Oryctolagus cuniculus: one gene and its partners. The protein of the gene in region 3 purifies or fractionates together with the protein of the main gene of each other region. This does not show direct contact. Links are inferred from orthologs where the notes say so. Each region holds a gene or a part of one and is shown on either strand. Other genes may lie near its edges.

Evidence for each region.
Region 1: the proteins of STX8 (region 3) and VAMP4 purify together in Homo sapiens (co-immunoprecipitation; 3 studies listed by BioGRID and IntAct, counting the BioPlex papers as one, with this or other methods). This does not show direct contact. The link is inferred for Oryctolagus cuniculus from reciprocal best matches to the Homo sapiens genes STX8 and VAMP4.
Region 2: the proteins of STX8 (region 3) and VAMP3 purify together in Homo sapiens (co-immunoprecipitation; 3 studies listed by BioGRID and IntAct, with this or other methods). This does not show direct contact. The link is inferred for Oryctolagus cuniculus from reciprocal best matches to the Homo sapiens genes STX8 and VAMP3.

The regions. Positions count from the first base shown.
Region 1 is NC_091438.1:26,787,675-26,797,547, reverse strand, and holds the start of VAMP4 (vesicle-associated membrane protein 4), read right to left. Parts: upstream 4,958-9,873; 5' UTR 4,737-4,957; intron 961-4,736; 5' UTR 920-960; coding exon 854-919; intron 1-853. UniProt on the Homo sapiens protein: Involved in the pathway that functions to remove an inhibitor (probably synaptotagmin-4) of calcium-triggered exocytosis during the maturation of secretory granules.
Region 2 is NC_091438.1:159,931,687-159,941,600, forward strand, and holds the start of VAMP3 (vesicle-associated membrane protein 3), read right to left. Parts: upstream 6,453-9,914; 5' UTR 6,300-6,452; coding exon 6,298-6,299; intron 4,521-6,297; coding exon 4,442-4,520; intron 179-4,441; coding exon 20-178; intron 1-19. UniProt on the Homo sapiens protein: SNARE involved in vesicular transport from the late endosomes to the trans-Golgi network.
Region 3 is NC_091448.1:53,882,130-53,892,043, forward strand, and holds the start of STX8 (syntaxin-8), read right to left. Parts: upstream 5,972-9,914; 5' UTR 5,510-5,971; coding exon 5,493-5,509; intron 1-5,492. Other genes in the region: CFAP52 (cilia- and flagella-associated protein 52), read left to right, coding at 6,624-6,693. UniProt on the Homo sapiens protein: Vesicle trafficking protein that functions in the early secretory pathway, possibly by mediating retrograde transport from cis-Golgi membranes to the ER.

The DNA of each region.
Region 1 (9,873 bases), on a different chromosome or scaffold from region 3:
TTCCTTTGAAAAACTAGAAAGAAGCTGTGAGCATAAGGATTTGAGCATAACTGAGTTGCAAATATAAATCATACCAACTTTTTAACATGTTTACTATGAAGAAAACAAGCAAGATTAGAATGCAGTATTGGCTCAGAAAACCCCAAAGTGAAGGCCTCAGGAGCAAAGCTTCTGATCTCATGAACCCTCCCTCACTATCACCTTCCATTCCCACCCCACCATCTCTCACCCCTCTCCCTCAGGCAAGCCACAGAAACTAGACTTCTTCTTCCACAAAGTGAGTCATAGAAACCAGAATCTCCATACCCCAAAGTCATCATAAAACAGTATTACTCTAAATTTCCCTCCACTTTTCTGTATAAGTTAGCCACGAACAAGTTCTCTATCTTGTTTGAATGCAGGTCACCTGACCCCCTTTCCAGAAAGGGTCCTGCTTCACACCTGGAGGCAAGGAAAGGAGAATCTGAATACATATGCCCAGCTGGGTCTCCCTGCTCCCCAGTCTATTTCTATTAGATCACACCTTTTGTACCCAATCATATTTCTACATAGCCGTACATGCTTCACAGAACCTAAGCGTCAAATGGGTAGTTCACCTGGGATCTTTAGATCCCCAATATGAAGACTCTCAAGTCATACTGAACTAAGATCAGATAAATTTGTTATGCTTTCCTCCTGTTAACCTGTCTTCTGTAATAGGGGTGTCAGCCACGACCCTTTACGATGGACAGGAAAAGGATCACCTCTTCTCTGTCCCTATAGTGACCATAAACATTAGTTTTTTTCTATTATTTACAAAGGGAATGAATGTATTTGGAATCATTCCTTTCTGAACTTAAGACTGTGAACTTACCCTTTCACTTTTCACAGAACCAGTGACATCATCATCATTTAGGTGGCGCTTGAACTTGGGAGGCATATTTTACTCTTCTACTTCCCACCAGAGCAAGTATTCACCACCTTAAAGAGAAAATAAATGTCATCAGAGTTGAGACACCTGGAATAAGGGGGCCTCCTTCATTTTTCTAACTTCAACCACACCCCTCTCACTTGCTCCACTCCAGTGTCTCAGGCCTCTATGAGCAAATAAATGTAACTGCCCTAAGAGAACACGTGTAGGGAATAAATGAATTAAGGCTTGTATAAAATGAAAGAACAAACAGAGGGGAAAACTATGAGGCAGCCCTCTGAAAATGAGTCATTAAATGCTTTAGGGTCAGAAGATGATAGTACACTTCTAGTTCTCTCACTTTTATTTGGTTGTTTAAGCAATGGTGCAGTTTCCTCATCTGTAATATAGTGATTTCTGGCATGGAGTTGGGAAGGTCAAATAAGATAATACATACAGAAATATTCTGCAAATTATGGTGTACCATTGGTGCTCCACGAAAAGTGATGCTTGTAAGTGCTGGTGTGATGTTAGGACTTATGTGTGCATACACATAAACATATATTTTATATTTGGTCTCAACCCTGTTCCCTGACATACAGTTCCTAAAGCACTTGGCATCTGCCAGAGTGTTAACAGTGCCTTTTGTATGCTACAAAATGACTGGTGCCTAGCAAATCATGGGTACCTTAGGATGTGGCAGGTTTAGGAAAGACAAAGCCATGATTAGGACTTCTCAGCTCCAACCTATACTATCTAGGGAGACAGCTGAAGGTTGGGATGATCTCCAGTGGTCAGTGATGATGTAATCAATCAAGCCTACTAATGAGGCCTCCACAAAATCTCAACAGGCCCATGTCTGTGAGAGCTTCAGGACAGTGAAACATACAGCGATTCCTGGAGGGTGGCAGGCCTGGAGCAGGCATGCAAGCTCCACACACTTCCTCCTATATCTTGCCCTGAGCGTGTCTTCCATTCCATCTGTTGTTCTTTGGTATCCTTTGTAATATCTTTTATAAGCTGGAAATGTGTTTCCCTAAATTCTATGAGCCACTCGACCAAATTCACTGAACCCAAGGGGAGGATTATGGCCACCTTGATTTACAGTTGGTAGATCAGAAGCACATGTAAAACAACATGGGACTTGAGATCGGCCTCTGAAGTGGGGGCAGCCTTGTGGGCTGGGCTCTCAATCTGTGGGGTCTGATGCTATCTCCAGGTAGACAGTGCCAGAACTAAACTGAATTCAAGGACACCCAGCTGGTGTCCACCAGATAATCTATGAAAGAATTGTTTGCCCCCCCCCCCCCCAATTCTAGGGTCACAAAAGTGTTCTGTGTCATGAGACAGTAAAAAAAAAAAAAAAAAAAAAAAAAAAAAAAAAAAAAAAAAGCTGTGTTTGTTTTCCTTATATCAGAACTGAGGTAAGTAGCTCCAGTCTTTGCTACAGAACCATCTCAGCCCCTTACATGTTAACATGCATAGTAACTTTCTAGGAATATGCTTGAGTATGCAATATAATTAAAATTTTCTGGCAGAAAAAGCTGTCCTATGCAAATATGAATTTTCAGCATTTTGAACTTGATGGGTGAATATACAGCAATTCAGAATAGCTAAGATGTACTGAATGTTATTTACTATGGGCTGCACCTTGCACTCAGCCATACACATGCATTTTTCTCTTTTAATCTTTGATACTCTTTTGAAGTAGGCACTAAGAAACTGAGAGAAAAAATAAGGCTTAGTAAATACAAATAACAGTGTTTGTCATTTCAGTCATTGAAATAGCAGAGACATAAACCTAAATTGCTCGACAGCTGTGCATTATCAGCTTTCTTTGCTTATTTGAGAGGGAGGGAGGAAGGGAGACAGAGAGAGAGAGAACATGTTCCCAGCTACTTGCTCACAAAATGTCCACGATGGTCCCCTACCAGCTGATGCCAGGAGCCTGAAACTCAATCCACGTCTCCCACATGTGTGGCAGGAACCCAATCATTTCAGCCATCTCTGCTGCCTCCCAGAGTGTGCATTAGCAAGAAGTTGACACCAGGAGCTGGAGCCAGGAATGGAACTCAGGCACTCAAATGTGGGATGCAAGCATCTTAACCAGTGTCTTAACCACTATGCTAAATGCCTGCCCCCATAATTAGCTCCAATATTTACTCAATTAGGTTACACATTTCTGTCCTGGAAAACACATTTTCCCATGATAATCCAGGAGCCCTGTTCCCTCTTCATAAGAATTTAAGATCTTTAAATTAGGTATTGTTAGGCATTAGTTTGTTAGCTAATGTTGGGCACTGAAGAAAGAAAAAGGACCAGGGTATAGGTTCAAAGACCTAATAAAGGTAATAAATATTTTGAGCCAGCTTCCTATAAAAAAAATACTGAAAAGAAATGTTTCCAAGTTAGAAACTCAACCACTTGTCACATAAACCAGTGTTGCCACCTAAGTAACAGTTCCAGAGTTCTTCAATTCACAGTTTTTGTCACATACGTCCTGTCCATTTATTCCCCATATTTCAATTTCCAAATAATTCATCCATGCAGGAATGTTGCAGAATGCATGGAAAAACAGATGACAAAGCAAATAACTGAGAAACTTGAGCTTTTCTCATGTGTTTGTTTATATTTTAAACCCTACAAAGAGGCTGCCTCAGCAGCCCCAAAGCAAGACTTGTAAAATGCCTTTATGAGACCTAAAGATAAGATCTTAATGATGAGCAAACCCCCTTCGAGGTCCCATTCTCCAAGAATCAACCTCACAAAGTCAAGAAATCATGTCTGACAAACAGAAAAGCCAGAAGGAAGATTAATTAGCTATGCTTGAGGAGTCACAAGGCAACAGATATTTGTATCAAACTAGTAGAAATAAACCACGCTCAGCTATTGGATTCGTACATATTCTGCCTAAGATTTCTCCTACAAAAATACCTGTGAATTTAGGTGTTTGTATGTAAATGAGGCAGCCACCATTATGTATTGCCACACTGAGGACAGGCACCACTCCACAATTCACTTTAAAAATGTCACAACACTTTATACTTCTTACATCATCATCACAGGTAAAAAACCTCATGTACGCATTTTTGTAGTGTGTTCTCTATTCCGTGGCTTTATATGTAATAACCTTCTAATCTGCTGCTTAATAAATGCTGACTTTTTGCTTTCCAAAGAAAACCAAACACACACACACACCATTTATGTTTTTCAGTTCACAAAAGCTGGAATTTGAGCAGCCTTCCTTTTCCCAGCCTCCAATCCCTTTCTGACTTCTCTTTCCCATCTCTCAGCAGCTTTGGTTGCCCTCTCTCAGAAATAGAGACTTGGCTGGACACACTGGAGATGTTATTCATACAACCTGTCAAGTGTACTGCCCGACCCCCGCCTTCCGGGGTTAGAAACGTACACGGGCTGGTGTTTTCGCCCCAGCCCTTCCTTAAAGCACCATTTCCATAGCCTCCAACAGGCAGCTCCCCTTACTCCAGCGATCGCACCAGGCCACGGACCCCCACGTCTGCTAACTCGGGCCCATCCTGCCCCTGACACCCACTCACCCCAGCTACCTCCCGCTCTGAACAAATCTTCCTCATCCACGCACCCTTCTCTTCCCATCTCCCCAGCGCACCCCTCACCTCCAGTCTCCACAACCGCCCCCCATCCGCACACCCCGTCACCGACCCCGGCCCCAACCCCTTCCCTCTCAGGGCTCCTCGGCCCCCGGCCCCTAGACCCCTGCCCGCCTAGCCCGACCCGGACGTTGGGGGGCCGTGGGGCAGGGGCGTCGTCTTCCTTTCCTGCCTCCTCACACCAGCCCCTCCCGCCGGGAAGAGGCCGGCGCCAGTACCTGAGGCTCCCGGGGAGCTCCCGGCAGCTCTCCCGAGCGGGCGGCGCTGGGCGGGCGGGGGAAGGAGCGGGAAGCCGAGGGAAAAGGCTGGGAGGGGGAGACAGTGGGCGCGGACCCGGCGTCGGCCGCTGCGCCGCAGCTGCGCCCCCGCTCATCGAGCCGATCGGCGCTCCGCGGCCTGGCTGCAGGCGGAGGGGGCAGCCCAGGGCGCGGCGATCGCCGAGGGAGTCGATTCCGCCCGCTGCGTCTAACCCCGAAGAACCTCTGGCCTTCCAGCCGTCTGAGATCTGGATACCCAAGCTATGCTGTGTTTTGAGGAGGAACAGTGGTTCTCGAGGTGCTGGCGCGCATCAGGCGTGCGTGGTGGGCGCGAGGGGAGCGGTGTCGGAGCCGCTGAGAAGTAGCTTAGGGTGGGGCTCGGAGCTTCGTGACTGGGGTCGGTAAGACCTTTAGGTGGTGCTTGTGCGAGATCCGTCCCCAGGCTGAGGAAGTCGAATGGGAAGAGGAAGGTGGCTTAGAGGACCAAGGGACACGCAGGGAGAGGAGGAAGTAGACACGCTCTTACATGCTGCTGCTGTTTCTGTGTGGTTGACTTAATGCACTAATTGAAAAGGCGCCGCTAAGGCTTGCCCCTGGAGTTGCCGTATCCGGAAGGCTTGTGAAACTACTGGTGCCCGGGCACTACTCAGATTCTGATTTAGTTTGCTATGTTCACAGACTGCGAGCAGTGGGGTTGGGCTCCCTCAAGAGCTGGAGTTCGCTACTGATGAGGACAAAAGTGGTCCATCTGGAATGGAAGCCTCTTGTAGTTTCTGTCCCAGCCTCCACGGATAACCCAGAAATTAGTTCTTCTCTGAAGTGATTTTGTGTCTGTACTATTTGTGAGTAATCTATTCTTTTTCTTAGTTTTTTTTTTTTTTTTTTTTTAGATTTTTAAAAAATGCTTTGACTTGTAAGTAAGAATGTCAGAGACAGAGGAAGAGACACAGAGAAAGAGAGCTTCCTTGTACAGGTTCACTCCCCAAATGGCTCTAACAGCCAGGTCTGGTCTAGCCCGAAGTCAGGGGCTGGGTTCTCTTTCCTGGTCTCTCACGTGGGTGGCAGGGCCCAAGTACTTGGGCCATTTTCTGCTGCTTTCCTATGTAAGTTAGCTGGGAGTCAGCTAGGAAGCTCCAACCAGTGCTCTGATACAGGTGGTCAGCATCCTAAGTGGTGGCTCAAGCTACTGCGCCACTGCGTTGGCCTCTTAGTCTTTTAACCAAAAGGATCTGCCAGTCTTTTTGGTATGATTGCTTACGGGAGGGAAAATACAAACTTCACCTTTAATCACTTGAACAAAGTCCCTTTGATTTCCCTAACATGTGTGAAAACTTAGAAAATGTCGTTTTACAGTTACCATGAATCCAATATGCCAGTAAACCTGAAAGATGATAAATAACACTGAATTTAGAGTCAGGACTCCAGCCAACCTGAATTATATTATTTCCTCCCCTGTTTTCTTTCTCATGAACTCCAGTTATGGAGACGGTAATTCTTCACTTTTTCTTCACATTTAAAAAAATTCCTTTTATTTATTTGAAAGGCAGAGAGAGATCTTCCATCTGCTGGTTCCATCTGCAAATTCCTACACTAGCCAGGGCTGGACCAGGTCAAAGTCAGGAGCTGAAAATTCAATCCAGAACTCCCATGTGGGTGGTAGGCACCTACGTGGTTAAGCCATCACCTGCTGTCTCCAGTGACATGCATTAGTAGGAAGCTAGGGTCAGAAATGTGATGGGGACCTCGAACCCAGGCACTCAGATATGGGATGTGGTGTCTTAACTGCTGGCCCAAAAGCTAGTCTCCAACTCTTTTTCAACGTAAGACCTTCACCCCTAAAGGGCCCCAGTGTCATTGTAACTAGAGAACCTATGTGTTGCCCTCTGCCAAGACTAAATCTCTGGGCTTTGGCTGGGATAGGGATGGGAATATGAGCATCTGATCAATTCTTAAACATATTTTCTGTAATTCCTCCTGTTAGCCCACTTCATGCTCTTTTCCAGGATTACCTGGCACTTCCAGTTCCTGAACCTTACGTGAACTTTAGCTGTGTAAATCAGGTTGTTCCATGACCTGATTAGAATCTATTTCTCAGGTGTGCAACTTGATTCAGCTACTTAACAGCTTTCAACGTTTTGTTGCTCTTGTCTGTCATGAGGCAGAAGTGCAAATCAAATACAAGCATGTGAGCAAATTTCAACCGTCACTCAAAAATGTGAATCAAAATAAACAGATAAAATACCACTCTTCATGTATCAGTGACTAGGAAAGGAGGAGTTAAACAGATCTGCAGTCCATTCTCACCATAGGGAAATACTGCTACCAAGCAAACAAATGTGAAATTCATATATATACGATAATGACAAACCTTCTGGCAAATAAACTTGATATTTATTAGCAGGAAAGTCCATACCAGTGGAATTTCTCTGGGCTAGGATTGCTAATGGTAAACACATCAGGGATCTGTAGATTTCAGGGGATTGACTCCTGGGAAAATACCATGTAAGTTTTGTAACTTGGCATAAAATGGAGATGTTTTGTAACTGAGTTGTCTCCTGTGTAAGTAGGAGTAGGGTGACTGCACACCTTACTTAGCACATCTTACCCTTTGCCAAGACATATCTGAAACAGGAAGAAAGCTCCTAGGAAGTAGCACTGAGTCCTGGATCTGCCCTTTCTACCTTTTGATTGTTCGTATTCTTGAAGTTATTGGTATAGTTTGATACTGGGTAAGAGGTAGGATCTGTTTGAGTTTGGTTTGACGATTTGATCCTTTGTGTTAGCTCAATGACAAAGCTTGAAAAGTTGGATAATATAGTGTTGCATGTGCATGGTGGTATGGGGTCAAGTGGGAGAAACGGTATTCCTAACGCTGTTAATGATGAATTTGTACTGATAATGACAGTACAAATTCATGCAAAGTTTTTTCAAGTTCAGAGTAATAGTGTGTGTCTACATTTTATATGAAGTTGCTTGGTTCTAATAGCTCCACTTCTAAAATTTATCCCATCAACAGTCAAGCTGTATATAAATGTTCTATATTCTTTTTTAAAAAAGATTTATTTATTTGAAAGAATCACACACAGAGAGAGGTCTTCCATCTGTTGGTTCACTCCCCAGTGGGCTACAACAGCCGGAGCTGCACCGATCTGAAACCAGGAGCCAGCAGCTTCTTCTAGGTCTTCCATGTGGGTGCAGGGGCCCAAGGACTTGAGCCATCTTCTACTGCCTTCCCAGGCCATAGCAAAGAGTTGGATCAGAAGTGGAGCAGCTGGGACTCGAACCAGCGCCAGCATTGCAGGCAGCTACTTTACCTGCTATGCCACAGCGCCGGCAGTGTTCTATATTCTTTACATGATTTTTATAATAGCAAGACTCAGAAAAAAAATTTAAAAAAAATAAAAGCCTTTAACTGTCCAACAATAGAAAATTGCTGAAATAACTCATGGTATATCCATTCATGGGGATAGTCATAAGCCCCTATAATGAACTACATAAATCTACACCCGCCAACATGGGGGTATTTCTGTGATGTGCTATTTAAGGTGAGAAATGCAGTGTACAGAAACACTTAAGTATCTTACACACTAAGAGAACTAGGAGCCTGGCATGGAAAGTGTGACGAACTGAATTGTGTCCCCTTAAAGTTCGTATGTTGAATCCCTAACCCACAATGTGACTAAGTGTGGCAGGGCCTTTAGAACAGTGGTGACTAAGGCTCATGTTGTGAGAGTAAAACCCTAATCCAATAGGCCTGGTGCCTGAGTGCCTGAGTGCATGGGCACACGAAAGCACAGTGATGTTTACAGTCTAGGGAGAGGGGACTTTGAGCCTCAGAACTGAGAAAATAAGTTGCATTCTCACCCAGCCTGTTGTCATTTGGTATGTTATCCCTAGCAGACTAATCCAGAGGAAAACCTTTCCCTCACGTGTGGTGCTTTGTACCACCTGTATCACTTTTTCCATTAACACAAAACAATACCATGATACAGGCTCACTCTCTTTCCCAAGTCTGGGGCCGGTGCTGTGGTGCAGCAGGTTAAAGCCCTGGCCTGAAGCGTCAGCATCCCACGTGGGCACCAGTTCAAGTCCCGGCTGCTCCTCTTCCAGTTCAGCTCCTTGCTATGGCCTGGAATAGCCGTAGAAGATGGCCTAAGTCCTTGGGCCCCTGCACCCACATGGGAGACCTGGAAGAGGCTCCTGCCTCCTGCCTTTGGATTGGCACAGCTCCAGCCGTTGCAGCCATCTGGGGAGTGAACCATTGGATGGAAGACCTCTCTCTCTGTCTTTACCTCTCTCTGTAACTCTTTCAAATAAATAAAAAAATTGAAAAAAAAAAAAAATAAAGTGCTAAGTCTGTCTAGAGTTTATGCAGTCTTTGCCCCAGATTTTAGAGATCTGTCATACCCATGCCTAGTTACACAGTTATTTTTGTTGCTTACCTTTATTAGTTTAGTTTTCCTAGATAGAAACAATCACTTTCTTTCTTTTTTTTTTTAATGTTTTATATTTATTTACTTGAAAGAGACAGAGAGGTCTTCCATTCTGCTGGTTCACTCTAGAGCTGAGCTGATCCAAAGCCAGGAGCTTCTGCCGGGTCTCCTACAAGGGAGCAGGGGCCAAGCACTTGGGCCATCTTCTTCTGCTTTCCCAGGCCATAGAGAGCTGGATCAGAAGTGGAGCAGCCAGGACTCGAACCGGCGCCCATATGGGATGCCGGCGCTTCAGGCGGCGGCTTTACCAGCTACGCCACAGCGCCGGCCCCCAAACTTTCAATTTGTATTTCATTACTTTAAATGTTTAACTAGATTCTCTAAGTGTAATAGGCATTAATACTGTAGGGGCAAATCTAAATTGACATGCTCAACTAACGTAGAGGAGAAATGCACAGGTATCTTAGAGCCAACCGTTAGCCTCTCCTACTCAGAGGGCCTGGGTATTATGTGAAGATGGTATCAGTTTATGTTTTTGTTTTGTGATTTTTAATTTTAGTTTTGATTTTGAAACAAAGTCACCAAAGAATAAGTACAAAGAACTCTTGTAAATACTTTATTCAGTGTCACTGATTGTTAATTTTTTAAATGCTGACCTCAATCCT
Region 2 (9,914 bases), on a different chromosome or scaffold from region 3:
GCGGTTAGAAGAGAGTTACCTTGCAATTCTTCCACCAGTATTTTCTCTTCAACTTCGCAGCACTGGTTTCAAACTGAGAAGCCCCAGCCTGCAGTGCGTCTGCACGGTCATCTAACTCGGAGAGCTTCTGGTCTCTTTCTAACACCTTATCCACGTTGACTCTCATTATGTCCACGACCTACGGGAACACAGGCGCAGCAAGTTCGTCACGCGTCAGGAGTGGGAGAACTAGAATTACAGCTGTGACGTGCTGGCACATTTCTTCACATCAGCCCTTTATTACTTTGAATCTGACTTTCACCAAACAAAAAACAAAACAAAACAAAACAAATTGGGCCCACCCTTTCATGATGAAAACACTCAGAAAACTAAGGGAATTTCCTTCACAAGATAAAGGACACTCTCACCAGTGTCACACTCGGGGTGAAAGACGGAGGGTCCCCGAGATGGGGAGGAGACAGACACCACTTTCCCTGGTGCTGCTCTACGCTGTGCTGGAAGCTCTGGCAGAGCAGTCAGAAACGATAAAGAAAAGGCATTCACATTGGAAAGGAAAAGTAAAACTTATCTCTATTTGCAGATTCCTGAAGAATCTACAACACAAGTACAACTAACAAATTTAGTAAATCTGCAAGGTACAAGATCAACACACATAAATCAGTCATTTCTACACATCGGCAATGAAGAGTAGAACAATTACATTGACAACATCATCCAAAAAGTAAAAAATCCTAGGAATTAACCAAGTAGGGAAAAGACTTGCACAATGAAAACCACAAAACATTGCTGAAAGAAATGAAAGCAAATCCAATTAAACAAGGCATCCTATGATCACACACTGGAACTTAATACAATATTGCTAAGATGGCAATAGTCCCAAAGTGCTGTGCAAGCTCAATGCAATCTCTATCAAATTCAACATTTTTTTTTCTTGAGAAACTGGAAAGCCAGTAACCAAACCGTATGGAATTGCAGAGCTGAAAAGGTGAAGCGAAGCTGGAAGGCTCACACTTTGCAATTTCAAAATTTACTGCAAAGCCATGATAATCCAAACAGTGTGGTATTGGCCACAGAACAGACAACACACAGATAATGGAACAGACCTAGAGTCCGGAAATCAGTCCAAGCATTTATGGCAAACTGATTTCTGACAGGACCATGCAGGGGGGGGAGAGAACAGTATCTACAGGGGCCGGCATTTTGGAGTGGGGGGTAAAGCTGTTGCCTGCAATCGTCAACATCTCAAATGGGCTCCGGTTCGTGGCCCAGCTGCTCCACTTCTGAGCCAGCTCCTCTCCAGTGGAAAAGCAGTGGAAGATGACCTAATTGTTTGGGCCCCTTTACCCATATGGAAGACATGGAAGAAGCTCCTGACTTCAGCCTCGCCCAGCCCTGACTGTTGTGGCCATCTGGGGAGTGAACCAGCAGATGGAAGATCTCTCTCTCCCCCTCTCTTCCTCCCTCTATACTCTTTCAAATAAATAAATAAGTCTTAAAAAATAGAGTAGTATCTTCAGCAAATGGTGCTGGGACAACTGGACAGTCACATGTAAAATGACTGGACCCCTACCTCACCTCACATATAAGAATTAACTCAAAATAGATCAACCACCCAAGTGTAAAAGCTAAAAGTACAAAAGAAGCAAAAACAAGAGTGAGTATAATCTAGGGTTTGTTCCTGTAAGATCTGATACAAAAATCAAGGGCAACAAAAGGAAAAAACAGCTAACTTGGATTTTGTAAGAATTAACTTTTGTACCTCAAGGGACTGTATGAAGAATGTAAGACAATCCACAGCACAGCAGAAAATATCTGAAAATCACGTATCTGATGAAGGTTTAATATGCAGAAAACATAAAGAACAGACACATCAGCCAAGACAAATCCAATTAAAAACTGGACAAAGGCCTGGAACAGCCACTGCTTCCAAAAAGTCACACACAGAGGCCAATAAGCACAAGAATAGATGATCAATGTCACAACCATCACAAATGCAAAGCCAAGCCAGGACGAGACTCCACCTCAGGCTGCCTGGGCCGGCTATCGTCCAGCACGGGCACAGTCCTGGTGAAGAGGTGGGGAAGCCCCTGGGTGCTGCTGGGAACATGCAGTGGTGGAGCTACTGTGGCACACGGTGTGGCGGGTTCTCACGGAGCTGATAGAGAAGGGCTTCAGGACCCGGCAGTGTTACTCCCAGGTATGTGCTCAAGAGAAACGAAACAGAAGTCTAAACAAAATCTTGTTCGTGAACGTACACGGCAGGATTATGTGTAACAACTCAAATATCCGTTATTGCACGCATGGATAGACACACCACGGTCTCACACACGACGGAATATCATTCAGCCATAAAAAGGAACGACGTGCTGATCTCGCACTGGTCAGATGAACACTGACACATAACGCTGAGTGAAAGAAGCCAGAAACAGGTCTCGTGGTACCCGATACGCCCGAGCAGGCCATCCACTTGCACAGAATCTGATTAGGTACCAGAGAATGGGAATGAGGAACAGAGATAAGTAAGCAGGGTCACTATATGGGGACGGGGTGCTTTTCTGGGGTAAAGAAAAAGTTTTGAGACCGGAGAGAGCTAATGGTTGCATAATATTGTGAATATACTAAATACTAATAAATTGTACACTTTGAAATAGTTAATTATGTTCCACCTCCATTAAAAAAGGAAAGAACTCTCCTTAAAGTTTCTGAAAAAGGGCTCTAATTTGATTTTGTTAGGAAGCAAAAGTTAAAGGCAGCACAGACTTAGCAGGGGTCTCTAAAATGTGAAATGTTGAGAATTAAGTTCATAAACAAAACCATCAAACATTACTACACGATTTAATGATGGTATCTAACATAGTTTTAACTCTGTTTTGTAGGGTAGCAACATACAGAAAGACCAAAATATCTTTGTTGCTCAGTAGTAACTTCGGGAATAAGGAGATCTTGGTCTGAAATCGGGAACAACCTTGTGCTGCACTCCTGCATCTCTGAGATTCTGTGAACAGGGCCAGTGCCGTAGCACAGGCGGTACAGCCAGTGCCTTACGGGCTCCGTATGAGCCCCAGCTGCTCTCCGATCCAGCTCTCTGCTACTGCCTGGGCAAAGCAGTAGGTGGCTCAGGGCCTTGGGCCCCTGCACCCACGTGGGAGACCGGAGAGAAGCTCCTGGTTCCCAGCTCCGGGATTGGCTCAGCTCCAGCTGTCATGGCCGTTTGGGGAGTGAACCAGCAGGAAGAAGACTGCTCTCTCTGCCTGTGCCTCTCTGTAACTCTGCCTTTCAAATAAATAAATAAATATCTAAATAAAAAAGATTCCGTGGGCTGGCGCCGCGGCTCACTAGACTAATCCTCCGCCTTGCGGCGCCGGCACACCGGGTTCTAGTCCCGCTCGGGGCGCCGGATTCTGTCCCGGTTGCCCCTCTTCCAGGCCAGCTCTCTGCTGTGGCCCGGGAAGGCAGTGGAGGATGGCCCAAATGCTTGGGCCCTGCATCCCATGGGAGACCAGGATAAGTACCTGGCTCCTGTCATCGGATCAGCGCGGTGCGCCGGCCACAGCGTGCCAGCCGCGGCGGCCATTGGAGGGTGAACCAACGGAAGGAAGACCTTTCTCTCTGTCTCTCTCTCTCCCACTGTCCACTCTGCCTGTCAAAAAAAAAAAAAAAAAAAAAAAGATTCTGTGAACATCTATTGCTCAAGAATTCTAGGGAACTGGCACTGTGGCCTAAGCGTAAAGCCACCATCTGCAGTGCCAACATCCCATAAGGGCACCAGTTTGTATCCCAGCCGCTCCACTTCCGATCCAGCTCTCCGCTGTGGCCTGGGAAAGCAGCAGAAGATGGCCCAAGTGCTTGGGCCTCTGCACCCATGTGGGAGACCCGGAAGAAGCTCCTGGCTTCTGTCTCCCTTTCTGCCTCGTCTTCTCTGTGTATTAACTCTGACTTTCAAATAAATAAATAAATAAATCTTTTTTTTAAAAAAAAGAATTCTATAAATACGGATGTGTTGAGCTGCAGTTTGCCAGAGACTGCCTTCTGTGTGTCAATGGGCAACTGTCACAGATGAATTCTACAGAGACTTGCTCAGACTGGGTAATGTGTAGGTCAGGCTAAAGGACAGAGCGTTTTGATTTAAAAATACATGTATATCCATCAGAAGGACTGGTCCTGGCATGAGCAATCTTAGACCTAATCCTTAAAGTTCTGTTACTTTTTTTAATAAGACACTTTTGGGGCATGCCCTCAGGGAGACTGTTTTATGTACATGATTCTATATAGGTTCCCGGAGAGTCTGACTTTGGCTTAGATTAGGGCAGATTCACTACCTTTATGATAACTCAACACTGATGTTCCATTCACACCTTTACGAGAGTTTTTCTAAACAGAATTATCTTCGGCACGCTGCCATGTTTGTTTAAATCTACGTTCCCAGCATTTCGAGCGATACCTCATCCACTTGGTTCTGCGTCTGCTGAAGTCTTCTGCTGCCGGCAGCAGCGCTGGAACCTGCAGGTGCACCCGTGGACCTGGAACGCGGAAAGGCACAGCATGAGTCGGTCAGGAATCCCAATACAGTACTGTCAGCTTTAGGATGCGATCCCATTCCCCAGGACTCCAGTGCGGACAACGCTCACATCACAACCAAAGCGAAAGAGAACCCTGCCTGTAGACCTGAACAGTTCCTCCAAGATTACCAATTTGCCCACATCCGAGGGACCGGAGTCCAGGAGGAAGGCTCGGTAGAGTCTGGTACACAGCAGCGACCCCCAGCCGGGCACACACACAGGCCGCTCTCGGCACTCAGGACTCCCCGGGCCCTTCCACTGCGGCAACAATGCTTTCAGAGGAATAAGAGTTCCGGTGTCTCCTAATAGCGACTCATTTACAGACACAGCGTAGGAACACCGGGCGGGGGGGGGGGGGGGGGGATGCCGTGGAATGTTCGAGAATGGCGAGGAAGCATCGCATCCTCTCAGCGACCGACTCATCCTCCAAGTCTCCCTCTCTTGGCCACTGCGGCCCGGAGCTCCCCTAGGGCTTGGCTGGCGCCGGACAGTCACCAGTCACCTCTCTCCTGACAAACCACGGGCTCCTGGGTCCTAGAATTCTCTCCTCCGTGTTCAAGAATGCCTGGAGTGCTGGCGCCGCGGCTCACTAGGCTAATCCTCCGCCTGCGGCGCCGGCACTCCGGGTTCTAGTCCCGGTCGGGGCGCCGGGTTCTGTCCCGGTTGTCCCTCTTCCAGGCCAGCTCTCTGCTGTGGCCCGGGAAGGCAGTGGAGGATGGCACGGGTGCTTGGGCCCTGCACCCCATGGGAGACCAGGAGAAGCACCTGGCTCCTGCCTTCGGATCAGCGCGGTGCACTGGCTGCAGCGCGCCGGCCGCGGCGGCCATTGGAGGGTGAACCAACGGAAAAGGAAGACCTTTCTCTCTGTCTCTCTCTCACTGTCCACTCTGCCTGTCCAAAAATGATAATAATAATAATAATGCGTGGAGCACCTGCCTCGCCACACAACATCAGTTATTTAAAACCTGCCGCGCGTCAGCAGCCGGGGAATAAGGCAGATCCCACGCTGTTCTGCGTGGAGTGTCCGCGAGAGCACGCAGAGGGCCCACGCCCCGCGCGGGCTCCTTGGATCCTAACTCTTTGGGGTGGGGGGGACACTGCCGATGCCCTCAACACGAGGTTTAGCAGTCACTCCAGGGGGCATTCACCGGCTCCGGGGGTCCGCGGGGCTCTGCTGACCAGCACAGCGGCCTCCCCAGGGACGTCCCACGGGCGCGCCCCTCGGGCGCTGGGCTGGTTTTCCCCGCAGGGGTTGCAACGAGGGGCTGGAGGCGAGACTGCCGGGGCCCTGCGATGCTGGACAACCGAATCTGGAAACAGCGGTCTCCAGGGCCGCAGCCCCAGGAACGCATTCGCTCAGGAGCAGCAAGGCCCCGGCCAGGCTGCCGTGTCCCGAGGCCGCCGCTCCCGGCCCCGCGGTCGCCGGCGCTGCTCTTGGGGACCTCGCGGGGCAGGGCCGGGCTGCAGGGCTGGGCGCAGCCACTTCCTCCCGGAAGCCCGCCGGCGGCAGGGCCCTGGGGACGGCCGGCGGCGCCGCGGCGACAGCTAGGCCCTGCCACGGCCCGCACTCCCGCGGGCGCTGCCCGCCGCAGGCCTCGGAACGCACTCAACGCCCTCACGGGCTCGGCCCGCGGCGGAGGGGCGACCGGCAGGCAGCCACCGGGCCGTGCGACGGCTCCCGCCGCGGGCCGCCGCCTGCGGGCCCCGAAGCCGCCCCGCGCCCCGTCGCGTCACTCACATTTTGGCAGCGGCGGAGGCGCGGACGGCGGGGCGAGAGTCCTCCGAGCTGCGCAGCCCAGGACCTAGGCTCGGGGATGGGTGGGGTGGCGCGGCGGCAATGACGTCATCGGGCGCGGCCGGGCGCGCCGGAAGTGGGCGCCCACGTGGGCGGGGCCAGCGCGAGGCGCCGTCTGCGTCCTAACGCCGTCGGCGGGGCCTGTGGCGGCCGCCCCGGGCCACTGGCAATGGCGGCGTGGGGGGGCCTGGCCGCTGGGGACGCGGTCAGGGGGAGCAGGCGGTACGGGACAGGGACTGTCTGGGCGAGGGCGGGGCTCTGTACGTTCTTCCGGGTGTTTTCGTTTGTGACCGGTGTCTGTCAGCGCCCGCCGCCGGCCGCGCTGAGGGGCGCCCGGGTCGAGGCGGAGTGTGAGGTGGGAGTGGGGAACGCAGTGCCGGCTTGGCCGCGTCTGTCACGTGAGGAAGGAGCGAGCGCGCGCCCCGGGTTGGGGTCGGGGGTCGGGCCGGGCCGGCCGCGCTGGGCACGCGCCGGGCACGCGGCAGCCGGCGGGGCCGGGGGCCTCGAGGAGCCGGCGGGGGCCGCTACGGGCGTGGGACGGTGCCGGCGCGGACGGCCGCTGGCCGGGACACTGGCCCAGGGCTTGGGACTTCAACTGCAAAGCTGGGCGTCTGCAGGACTGACTCTCGCTCAGGAAGGCGTCCGCCCAGCGCTGTTCGGGATCACGGGTTGGCATTGGGAACCGGCACGTGCTCACCCCCTTGGATTCCGGGAACGGGTCAAGTTAAAGCAAAACACGGATAGTATGGGGAAATTTTCTTCATTTTTAATTTACAGCAGAAAGAATATAAAGCATTCAGAAAACATTTTCCATATTTTAAGGGCAATTCAAAACATTTTGCATGGTTTCCAGCAGCTGAGTTCTTCAACAGATCCATTGATTCAATGATGCTTTACATGCACAATTACAAAAATAAAACTTACAAAAAAGAAGACATCTAGACTAGTTTTACATGCAAGTCTCAGGGACCCCCCGTTGGGCGCCAACTACTGTGTGGAACTGCCAGAAGCGACCGTGCAGCCAGAGAGGGGGTTCGTGTTATTGTCTTTTATTTCGTTCACACAGTACAGCTGATTTCGAATGGGTAACGAGAATAGCAATTAAATCTTCAGGAGACAGAATAAGATTAGCTATTAATTTTATAATGAAATCCTACTCCTGGCACTTGGGAATTCAGATTATCCAAGAAAGCTGCGCTTACCTATCATCTTATATTCGAAATTAAGGTTCACAACCAAGAGAAAGCGGTCAGAAAAGCTTCGATTCAGTGGAAGTGCGTTTGTCCCTCACCGAGGATTCACAGTTGGACTGGTAGGTCGGAACCTACTTCCCATCCCCTCCGTAAGAGCCCTCCCAATTCTGTGTAAGTCTCTAATCTGGAATTTTCTAACTTACTCAGCTAATAATGTAGCATGTGAAACATCTTTTGAAATAAAAATAGTGTGAGGGTTAAAGCAAATCCACTGAGGTCATTACTCTGGTCAGAGATCAGTTACTGTACCGTAATCAATGGACTGAACATCCAGATCCAGTGTGGATAGAGGGTATCCCGGAAGAGCTGGCTTTCACATTCCCCGTTTATGAATGCGACTGTGTGTTCCTGGAATACTCAGCGTCCTCCTCTAGGTCAGACCGTGTCAAACAACGGGGATCTGGGGGACCGCACAGCTGCGACGTAACCCACACATTTAAAAACAAAATGGAGTCAGGTCGTTTACAAATGTACAGGTGGCTACTCATTGTGGGGCTGTCACTGTTGTCAAAGCCAGTCACAAAGCAGAAAGACGTATACTGTACAGTAATTCGAGGTTGGCAGTGAAAGGAAGTAATTAAAAAACAAGTACAATTATAGAAAAGGCACCAAGAGCACTGACCCCAGTTTTTACCACAATCTTTTTGTGTCCACCTTCCTTCTGAGACACCAGTTTAAAAGCTCATTCGCGAATTCTGATAGGCTTCACAACAGGCCTCGAGTTCTCAACTCACAGTTGGCAACTGGAACCGAGAGAAAACACCTCTGCCAACGGATGCTCGGCCTCGCCTGGGCATTTTAAACTGGCGTCAGCAACGCGAACTTCATTCTCTCAACCTTGGTAGTTTAATTTGTAAAAGCATCAGATTTCTTTGGCTCCTCGTTATGTGGAAAGAGTTAAATACCATGACGTCCCTTACAGGGCCAGTCTGCATCTTTTTCACTTTTGAGTTATTTGTGTGTGTGTGCAATTTTCACTTCACTTTCTGGTTTCCAGCAGGAGATATGAAAATGTGACATTTCCCTACTTTGCATTCCGTTTCTTTTTGTCAGGTTTTGATCGTTCTGAGTGTTCTTTGTTGGAGTGGATGGTGTTAGGCTATTTACTGATTTCTCTTATGATTATCTGTTTTGCAAAATTAAATTAATTTTCTTAAGCAATATTAGCATTCACATTACTTGGCACCATTGGCAAAAAAATTTTAAATAAAATAAACTAAACTCCTGGTAGCCAAAATTAAATGTAAACATATCCTTTTTTTTTTTAAGTAATGTTACTCTGCCTTTTTTCCTAAGTCTAAATACAGTAGCTCTTTTTTTTGCAGTTTAGTCATGCTTTAGCAAAATGTTCTTCTAAAGAACATTTAAAATAAAGTACTCTTATAGTGAAATAAAGGATTTTTTTGTTTCATTTTACAGACCATAGCCACTAATGCTTTGCTTTTGTTCATTTCTTTTTTCTTGATTTCATGCACATATCTCTTTGTTTTAATATATACAATATATACAAACAATACATCCACATTTTTCTCGCTCATTCAGACAAAACTATACAAATAATTTTATCTTGCCATGTTATTGACCTTTGTGAATAAAATATTTAGCAATTAATATAATCCCTTTCAAATATTTTCTCACTTTTCATTTCTACCCTCTGTATATACACAGACACCGCTCCGCTGGATGAGATAGAGCCAAAAACATGGAATTTACTGGCCAGAACGCAGCACCACACTGATCGTTTAGGTGGCAAATGTCCAGGCAAGGTTTATGATTCCTTAGAAGTGCTAGTTTCCAAGGTTACTAAAAAAGGCTACATGCTTTCCCAATTCTTAAGTAATTCTCATTGCACATGAAAGTAAGGCAAAAAAATTAAAGTGCTGAACATGAGAGAAGGGACAAGACAGTTATTCGCAGGGCTTCTGGGAGGTGGTGGGGACAAGAAAATAAATTTAAACTCTGTGAAGCTGTTTCTTGTTATTTCCCATGCATTACCCGTTTGCCACACACCCGCCCCTCTGCAAATTTCCACAAGACATTAAAAACCTGCAGATTTTAAAAGTTGCATTAAGTGTGCTGTAGAGATTAAAACAAACAAGACAAACGAACAAAGAAACAGTGAAGGAAATGAGAACACACGGACCCGATACAGACTGTATGATCTGAGCCCTCCACTGAGAACCAATCCCAGAGATCCACCTTCTTGGCAATGACCGACAGGCGCAGGCACGGCATCCTTGCTGCTGCTCAGGTAGCCCCACCTTTCCTTAGCTGTATTTTTGGTATAAATATTTGTACAGTTCCACA
Region 3 (9,914 bases):
GGCAACGTCACCACAGATGCCTCAAGGAACATCAGTCACGAACATCAGTCACAGAAACAGCGATGGGACAGCGGCAGCAGCAGACCAGTACGGCAGGGGCAGCTCTGGCCGCTCAGTCCCATACCCAGACTCCGACGCTTACTGTCTGCAAGGTAGTAAGGCTACCAAGGGTTAGGCTGTGACACAACATAAAAGACTTGGTTAAAAAAAAAAAAAAGATTAGTGAATAATCTGACATAAAGAAAAAATGATTTAAGTCATCCTCCCAGGTGACGAAGAGGATGGAGCTGCTGTGACACTGAGTGAGGTACAGGGAAGAGGAAACGTCTAGAACACAAACCAGGCTTCTTTTCTGTTAGAAAAACACTGCGTGTGTAGGTAAGTCAATACAAGATGTACCTGAAAGTACACCCAGAAAAGAGATGAGACAGGAATACTGATGATTACAGAAACCACGTGACGGGTATCAAGGAGCTCACTGTATTACTCCTCATAGACTTCTTACCTTCCAAAATAAAGTTTTTAAAAATACACCAAAGAAAACTAAACTAAACATGCTACTAACATAAAAAAAAAATTCCAGCCAAATAGTGGGGCTGGCACCATGGCTTAGTGGGTAAAGCTACTGGCTGCAATGCTGGCATTCCATATGGGCTCCGGTTCGAGTCCCGGCTGCTCCACTTCCCATCCAGCTTCCTGCTAATGCACCTCGGAAAGCAGCAGACAATGATCCAAGTGCTTGGGCCCTGCACTTTGGGGAACAAAACAGGAGATGGAAGATCTCTCTCTGTAACTCTGTCCTTCAAATAAATACATAAAGCTTAAAAAAAAAAAAAAAAGGGCCAGCGCCACGGCTCATTGGCTAGTCCTCCACCTGTGGCACCGGCACACCGGGTTCTAGTCCCAGTCCAGGTGCCGAATTCTGTCCCAGTTGCCCCTGTTCCAAGCCAGCTCTTTGCTGTGGCCAGGGAGTGCAGTGGAGGATGGCCCAAGTGCTTGGGCCCTGCACCCTATGGGAGACCAGGAGAAGCACCTGGCTCCTGGCTTCAGATCAGCGCGGTGCACTGGCCGCGGCGGCCATTGGAGGGTGAACCAACGGCAAATGGAAGACCTTTCTCTCTGTCTCTCTCTCTCACTGTCCACTCTGCCTGTCAAAAAAAAAAAAAAAAAAAAAAAAAGAATTCAGTGAATTTTCCAGAAAGTCTATCAACAAATAAACTGCTCCAAAAGAAAAGCTGATCAGCTTTCGCAAAGAGCCAGGTTGGAGCCAGAAACACCTGCTGCTCCCTTTTTTTTTTTTTTTTTTTAAGATTTATTTATTTATTTGAAAGGCAGAGTTACACACAGAGAGAAGGAGATTCAGAGAGAGAGAGAGAGAGATCTTCCATCTGCTGATTCACTCTCCAACTGACCACAATGGCCGGAGCTGCGCCGATTCAAAGCCAGGAGCCAGGAGCTTCTTCTGGGTCTTCCCATGTGGGTACAGGGGCCCAAGGACTTGGACCATCTTCTACTGCTTTCCCAAGCTACAGCAGAGAGCTGGCTTGGAAGTGGAGCAGCTGGGACTTGAACCGGTGCCCATATGGGATGCCAGCACTGCAGGCGGTGGCTTTACCCGCTTTGCCACAGCACCGGCCCCTGCTGCTCCTGTTAAACAGTGGAACCAAGCCTCCACCCCTCCTGATGCCCTTGGTGTAGACTTTCTCAGGCCCGCAGTTCCTCTGCCTGCACCATGGTGATTACAAGTCAGCTCCTTACTAACGATTAACTCAATACATTACAGCCACGGTGCAAGGGTCAGGCTGGCCCTGCAGGACTCCAATTTCAAGACCCCGGACTCACCCATAGCCTCAATGGCTAACATCCTACCAGTGGGCTCTGTTCTCAGATGTTGTGCAGGAACCCCAAGCCCTGCTCAAAGTAAAAACCAAACACCCAAAGACCCGCGACCAGCCAGAACCCACTGTGTCAGGACCATGTCTTAAGAACACGCCAATCCAAGGGAGGCCGCGAGGGCTGTGGGCCAACCAGAGGCCTGCACACAAGCTGATCACACACTGCTGACCCCCGTTTCAACCTGCAGAATTCACTGCCCTTCACCCACTGCCGGGAGGTCTGGGAATTGAGCAACAGGTGCTCGACTCCTGGTTCTTCGTGCTGCAAAATGAACTACTTCCTTCCACCGCCTCAGTGTCTCAGCTGGCTGCACGCTGGGCCAGTGGACCCAGTTTTGGGGGTTCTATAGCAATTTCTCCATGCAGTTTTGGGGGTGTTCTGTAACAACAGTGATGTTACCTTGTGCTTTGATGGGCCTTTGAAACAGCAAGTGCTGTGTGCTATTCCCTAAACATTAGAACCCTACACAGGAGGGAGGCATCAGTGCCCATTTTTTTTTTTTTAAGATTTTATTTATTTATTTGAGAGGCAGTCACAGAGAGAGAGGGGGAGACACAGAGAGAAAGGTCTTCCTTCTGCTGGTTCACTCCCCTAAATGGCCACAATGGCTGGAGCTGGGCTGATCTAAAGCCAGGAGCCAGGAGCCTCTTCTGGGTCTCCCGTGAGGGTGCAGGGACCCAAGGACTTGGGCCATCTTCTACTGCTTTCCCAGGCCATAGCAGAGAGCAGGATCAGAAGTGGAGCAGCTGGGACTCGAACCGGCACCCATATGGGATGCCAGCCCTGCAGACAGAGCTTAGCCTACTACACCACAGCGCCAGGAGTGGCCTATTTTCATAGGTTTCTCAGAGGCCCGTTCCACACTCCTTTCTATCCTTCTCATCCATAACCTACCACGTAAGGCAGCTCATGAGGGCACCTCAGAGGCCCCAGTGGTCCACTTTCAACAGCCTAATGAGAAGGTCACTAGTCAAACTCAACAGGAGAAAGTTTAAACACTTTTTCTTATCATCACCTGTGGAAGAGGTATGAGGTCAAACGAGAGCAACTTTTTTTTTTAAAGATTTATTTATTTGTTATTGAAAGGCAGAGTTACAGAGAGGCAGAGGCAGAGAGAGAGAGAGAGAGAGAGAGGTCTTGCATCCCCTGGTACACTCCCCAGATGGTCACAACTGCCAGAGCTGCCCCAGTGCAAAGCCAGGAGCCAGGAGCTTCTCCAGGTCTCTCATGCAGGTGCAGAGGCCCAAAGTCTTGGGCCACCTTCCACTGCTTTCCCAGGCCACAGCACAGAGCTGGATTGGAAGTACAGCAGTCAGGATTCGAACAGGCTCCCATAAAGGATGCCAGTGCTAAAGGGGGTAGCTTTACCTGCTACACCACAGCTCCAGCCCGGAGAGAAATGTATTTTTCTGCTATTTGTATGTAAACCCTGGGAGTCAGCCTCCCGGGGGGGGGGGGGGGATTCTGCAAGATAACATATACCAAGGGCCTTAAAAACAGATCTACAGTCCAAGAGTTCTGCTTCTAGGAAAACAGCCCAAGGAAACCAAGAATGGCACAAAGTACAGCAGTTCAGCCACCCCTGCCATGTTGGCACCCATACTGGAGGGCCAGTGTGATTCTACTTTACATCCAGCCTCCCCTAAGGGCAGGAGGTGATAACCCCAAGTGCTCAGGCCCTGCCACCCACGTGGGAGACCAGGATGAGGTGCTGGCTCCCGGCTTTTGCCTGGCCAAGCCCTGGCTGTTGTGGCTACTTGGGGGAGTGTACCAGCAGATGGAAGATCTCCCTGTCATCTCTCTGTCACTCTGCCTTTTTAAATAAATTAAAAAAATAAATAAGAGAGAGAGAGATGGAACAATGGGATAGCCTGCACAAAACTAAAAACAAAAACCTAATATTAAGAGAAAAATAATGGTTACTCATATCAGGCATTATTAGGGGCTGTAAGTCATGTGTTCAGAAAATCTTCAATAATATGGAGAAATGCCCCCTTTTATAAAACACTGTAGAGTTTAAAGAAATAAATTCACTGCAGGGGGCCGGCTCCATGGCAGAGTAAGTTAAGCCTCCACCCGTGGCACCAGCATCCCTTATGGGCGCCGGTTTGAGTCCCAGCTGCACCACTTCTGATCCAGCTCTCTGCTAATGGCCTGGGAAATCAGTGGAAGATGGTCCAGGTCTTTGGGCCCCTGCACCTGTATGAGAGACCTGGAAGAAGCTCCTGGCTCCTGGCTTCAGAGCAATGCAGCTTCGGCCTTTGTGGCCACTTGGGGAGTGAGCCAGTGGATGGAAGACCTTTCTCTCAGTCTCTCCCTCTCTCTGTAACTCTACCTCTCAAATAAATAAATCAAGCTTAAAAAAAATTCAGTGTAAAAATTTTTTAATAATGGCTGTTTCCAAATGCCAGTGTTAAAGATGTTATTTATTGTCTTTTCTGCAAATATTTGGTATTCTTTAAATGTATTAAGGTTGTATACAAATGTTACAATTAGATGGGACAAAAATTAGAGTGACATTAAGCAACTGGCCTGAACAACCTAGATGGCAGGTAAGCCTAACTTGGACCTTGGAATCCATTTTCCTTATATGCAGATGGCAATTTAAACAATCATAAACTCTACTAGAAACACAACCAAAGACATACACCGCTACGGACGAATATGCAGTTAGCTCAGGTCCCTTTAAGAGAGTACAAAACGCACGCAGACTTCTCCCCAAAAGCCACCCTGGCAAGACCAAAGCGCCAATCCCATCCTTGCGGAGGACAGAAGGAAGTTCCCTACCCCACCCTCTGACGGCTGGCTTCTTTGGTTTATCGGGAGCACACCAGACAGGATTGCAAACCCGGCCTTCAGATGGGTTTTGTCCCTGCCCTTTGATCGACTGTTCCCTGAATCGTGCATCCAAGACCCCACTTGCACCAGTTCCTCCGGTCTGCCTCTCCGGGAGGCTTCCGACTTGGATGCATCCCGCTGGGCTCACTGCCTGGTCCCCGTGGAAGTCTCGCTAAGGTGAGACAGAGCCACGGCAGTAAAAGTCCTTGGGCTCGGTCCCCCGGGGGCCAGCTCGCGTCCTGCGTGCTCCGAACTCAGGAGATGCCGCACCAACAAGTGCCTCCTTGCCCTCCCGGGGTCCCGAGAGTTCCCTGATGGGCGTCCGAGACCTTTGGGTGCTACTCCCGCCCGCCTCCCTTCTCCCCCGTCAGCGGTTCCTAACCGGAGCCCAGCTTTCCACACCCGGGATCTCGGAGGGCTCGCCACATGGATCGACATTGCACAAAAACGGGCACTCCCCGCCCACTGTCACAGCCGCCGGGGCAAGCCCGCGCGAGCCGGCTCCATCACCCAGAGCGCCGACCCTCAGCGCCCCCATCGGGGTCCTCCAGGTCTCCTTCCCCGCCAGCCTTGGAAAGGACCAAGGGTGGCAGAGGCGCCCCCAGCCAGGAAAAGGACCTGGCCGTCCCTCGTCTCACTCCCCCCACCGCCACCAAAGCCCTCCAAGCCCCGAGGCCCAGCGCCCGGCTGCCGCCCGGAAGCCTGGCTGCCCCGAACTTCGGCCGCCGCACTCCCACCCACCCTCGCGCGGGACGCACCAGGGGTCTGGGGCCATCGTGCAGTCTGCCAGCCGCCGCTCGGACACTTCCTGCTCGCCGCAGCTGACTACGGCGGCCCGTGTGGCTCAGTCCCCGCGGTGCTGTTCAGGACGCGAACGCAAACACCCAGGAGGACCTCCGGACGCTGCAGCAGGACTCGGGGAGGACAGAGCGCCCCTGGGCGCCGTGTGGGGTGGGGGTGGGGGGCGCGGCCGGCCTGCGGGGCGCCGGCACGGATGTGGCTGAACGGAAGGCTTCTCTCGGGACGGCGCGAGCATCTGCGGACGTCTGTCTGGCTGGTACTCGGGGAGGTTACTCCGTGTCTGGGGCGGAAGGCGGGCACGCGGTGGAGACGCAGTGAAACGCACCCGCGGCCCGCACCGCGGGGCCTGGGGCTCCAGCTCCCGCCCTGCCTGCTCCCAGCTTCGGGCTCAGCTTGGGTCCCTACCTGTCTCGTGGGAGACTCGGGCTGGGCTCCCGGCTTTGGCTTCCGTCTGGCCCAGCCCTGGCTGTTGTGGCCGCCTGGGGAGAGAACCGGGAGATGGGAGCTCTCTCTGTGTCTGCTTCTCTGTCTGCCTTTTACGGAAAAACGAAAATAAATAGAAAAAACTTTTGTTAGCTTTCAACAAGGCAAAAAGAACTGTGATGATAATTGCACACTGTATAAGTTTGTTAGACTGATTTATGATTCTAAGGGGGTTGATATGTAAGTATTCCAAAGCTGCTCTTAAAATCTTCAAGTTTTGTGATCCTGCTTCAAACAGCCCCGCCTCCATCAATTTTATATTATTTTATAGCGTCTACCGTCAGAAACGAACCTCCGTTTGTTAAATGCCATGGGGGAGGGGGAGTTGAGCATAGGTTCTTTGCAGAAGGGAAAAGGGAATTCATTCTGTGCATTTGGTGTCCCCCCTCCCCTGCCCCCTAAATTTGCAGAGAAATAGAGAAAAGAAGCCCCCTGTGCCTTGCAAGGGGGCGAACCAACTCCCCAGCTCCGCACACCTGGTGAGCGCACCGGCGTGGACCCGGCGCGCATGCGCGCGCTCGTTGCCATAACGACCAGGCGACGCCGCACCCGCTGGGGCTGAGACTGGAGGGAGCCGAGGGAGAGCTGAGACGTGTGTCCCGGAGATGGACGACCGAATGTCGCCCAAGGCCGACGTGGCCGAGCTGGAGCTGGCCGCCGTGATCGGCTTCAATGGTGAGCGTGCGGGGCTGCTGGTGCGGGAACCCCTGGTCCGTGTGACTGCAGCCTCTCCCGCCCAGGGCTCCCACAGCTCCTGGGGGGCTGGCGGGTGGGTCGGAGTGGCCGGCCCCCTAGGACAGCGCTTCCCAGCCCACGAAGCTGGACCCCTGCGTGACCGCCGGCCGCTGCGTGCGTAGCTCCGGGACCCACTATAACCAAGCGAACTTCCGAGCCCCGTGCTGCCGATGGGGGATCTGGGGACGCTACGTGTGTCCATGGTGAGGGTCTCAGAAGGAAGGGGTGGGGGCGAGCTGGAGCGGGATTAGAGCTTTATCAGAGATTGGCCTTGCCACTCTGCTGTGTCTGCCTTCTGCCTTGAAGGGGGAGAAAAAAGGGCTGAATATATATATATATATACATACATGCATATATATATTTTTTGCTTTTGTTTAGAGGGATGTGAAAAAGCAGTGGACTAAATTTTAGGAAAAGCAAATCCTTTTTACAAAGTGTTTGGTAATGCCTGAAAGCTTGAAACTTGTGATAATATAGATGCAGAAAAATCTGTATTTACAGTGTAAGCACATTCCAGGACTTAGCTCTCGATTCTCCACTGGAACAGGTTCAGAGGGGGAGTGGGCCCTCCACACATCCGAGAGGTGCTGGCTGTCGTTGGAGCTGGGTGCCAGGCCACAGAACAAAAACTCAGGGGTCTGCATTGGTTTGCAGAGGGCAAGCCATGCACGGGGCCCTGCAACTCCACAAACACTGCTTTACAGGGCTCGGGGAGCCAAGTACATGGCAAATTACATCCCGGTGTCTTCCTGTCGATGACTTCTTTTGCTTCTTAGAACGGCCTGTATTGGTGGAACTGTTTCCACCTTGTTGGTTTCATGATAATTTATGTTCTTTCATGGACTCAAATATGCATTCCTTGAGGAAACACTACATGCCAAATGGAATGTCATGGACTAAGAATGCAGAGAAATAATCCATAGTTGTGCTTAAAAAGAGCTTACAAAACTGGAAAAGTACAGTGAAACTGAAACACCAACCATCATTACACCAAAAGGTGTCGCTGTTATGGTATGACCCTTTCAAATATACAACTTACGTATAAATATTTTTAACTGAAAATAGACTCATGCTATATATATTCTATTTTTTTAAATTTGTATTTATTTGAGAGGCAGAGTTACAGAGACAGAGATAGACACACACACACACACACACACAGAGGGAGAGATCTTCCATCCACTGGTTCATTCCCCAAATGGCCACAAACTCAGGGCTGAGCCAGGCTGAAGCCAGGAGCCAGAAACTTCATCTGTAGCTCCCACAGGTGTACAGAAGAAACCCAAGCACTTGGGCCATCTTCCACTGCTTTCCCAGGTGCATTAGCAGGGACCGGGATTGGAAGTGGAGCAGCCGAGATTTGAACCAGTGCCTATATGGGATGCTGACCCCTCAGATGGCAGCTTAACCTGCTATACCACAGGGCCGGCCCCTGTATGTACTCTTTTTTTTTTTTTTTTAGATTTTTTTTTCATTTGAAAGAGTTACAGAGAGAGGTGGAGGCTGAGAGAGAGAGAGAGAGAGAGAGAGGTCTTCCATCCACTAGTTCATTCCCCAAATAGCTGCAACAGCTGGAGATGAACCAATCCAAAGCCAGGAGCATCTTCTGGGTCTCCCCCAGGCATGCAGGGGCCCCAGGACTTGGGCCATCTTCTGCTGCTTTCCTAGGCACGTCACCAGGGAGCTGGATTGGAAGTGGAGCAGCTGGTACTCGAACTGGTGCCTATATGGGATACTGGTGCCCATATGGGATGCTGGTGCTGCAGGCTGGGGCTTTAACCCATTGCGCCACAGCACCAGCTCCAATTCTAACTAGACCTTTTATCACTTAACACTAGGTCACAATTTTAGTGTAATCTTTAACAATCTTGTACAGATATACAATACTTCATTTATTTCCATGTTATTAAGAATTAGAATAATTCCCTTTTTTGCTTTTAATTTTGAAAAGCTTTTTCTTATTTGTTTACTTGAGGGACAGACAAAAGAGACATACGGAGAGTTCCTATCTGCTGGTTTACTTCCCAAATGCTCACAACAGCCAGAGATGGGTTAGGGCAAAACTGGGAGCCCAGAACTCAATGCACATGGGTGCCAAGGAACTGATTACTTGAGCTGTCACTGCTGCCTCCCAGGGTGCACATTAGCAGGAAGCTGAGGCCAGGAACCAGGATTCACACCAGGTACTCCAATATAGATAGTGGGCATCCCAAATAGCATCTTCACTGCTAGGGTAAATACCCACATTGCATTTATTTTAAAATGCTACAAAAAAACATGCACATAGCTAAATCTTTTGGAACTCGTAGGAGAATCTTAGAAAAGTTTGGGAGAAAGAGTCTATTCTAGGCTTGAAAGAGGTCAAGGAAGGATTGACCTTTTTAAGATTTGTTCATTTATTTTATTTGAAAGGCAGAGTTTAAGAGAGAGAGAGAGTGAGAGAGAGAGAGAGATCTTCCATCCTCAGGCTTACTCCCCAAATGGTCCCAGTGGCCAAGGCTGGACCAGGCCCAAGCCAGGAGCCAAGAACTCTACCCAGGTCTCTCGCATAGGTGGCAGGGGCCCAGTCACTTGGGCCATCATCCTCTGCCTTCCCAGATGGATTAGCAGGAAGCAGAGCTTCTTCCTCCACTTGGCTCTTGTGCCATGGGGGTTTCCAAGAAGATGGCACTAGAGCCGAGAGTGGATTGGGTAGGAGTCAGTGGGCAAGGAGTGAGGGGCAGAATAATCCACTAGCAGGAATAAGGGAGCAAAAGGAGGAGACGTGGAGGGTGGGGCCTGGGTGGGGAATGGCACATGGCTTGGTGAAGCCTCAGCATCAGGGACTGGCAGCCAGGCACAGGAAACTGAGCCTGGGATTCGCTGTCAAAGGCCTTAAATACAGGTCACTGAGTTAGATTTCACAAGGAAACAGAAGCAAAAGCAAGGTCCCTTTTCTCATTGTTTAGTAGTGTTACACTGTCAAACTTGAATTTTAACTTGAAGAGGTAAATATGTAACTGTACTTGACATTTCAAAGTATTCTGACAAGAATTTATTTAGTTAGTTGGTTGAAAGGCAGAGTTACAGAGAGAGAGAGAGAAGATACTCCTTCTACTGACTCACTCCCCAAACGACTGCAAAGGCCAAGCCAAAGCCAGGAGCCAGGCCCTCAATTTGGT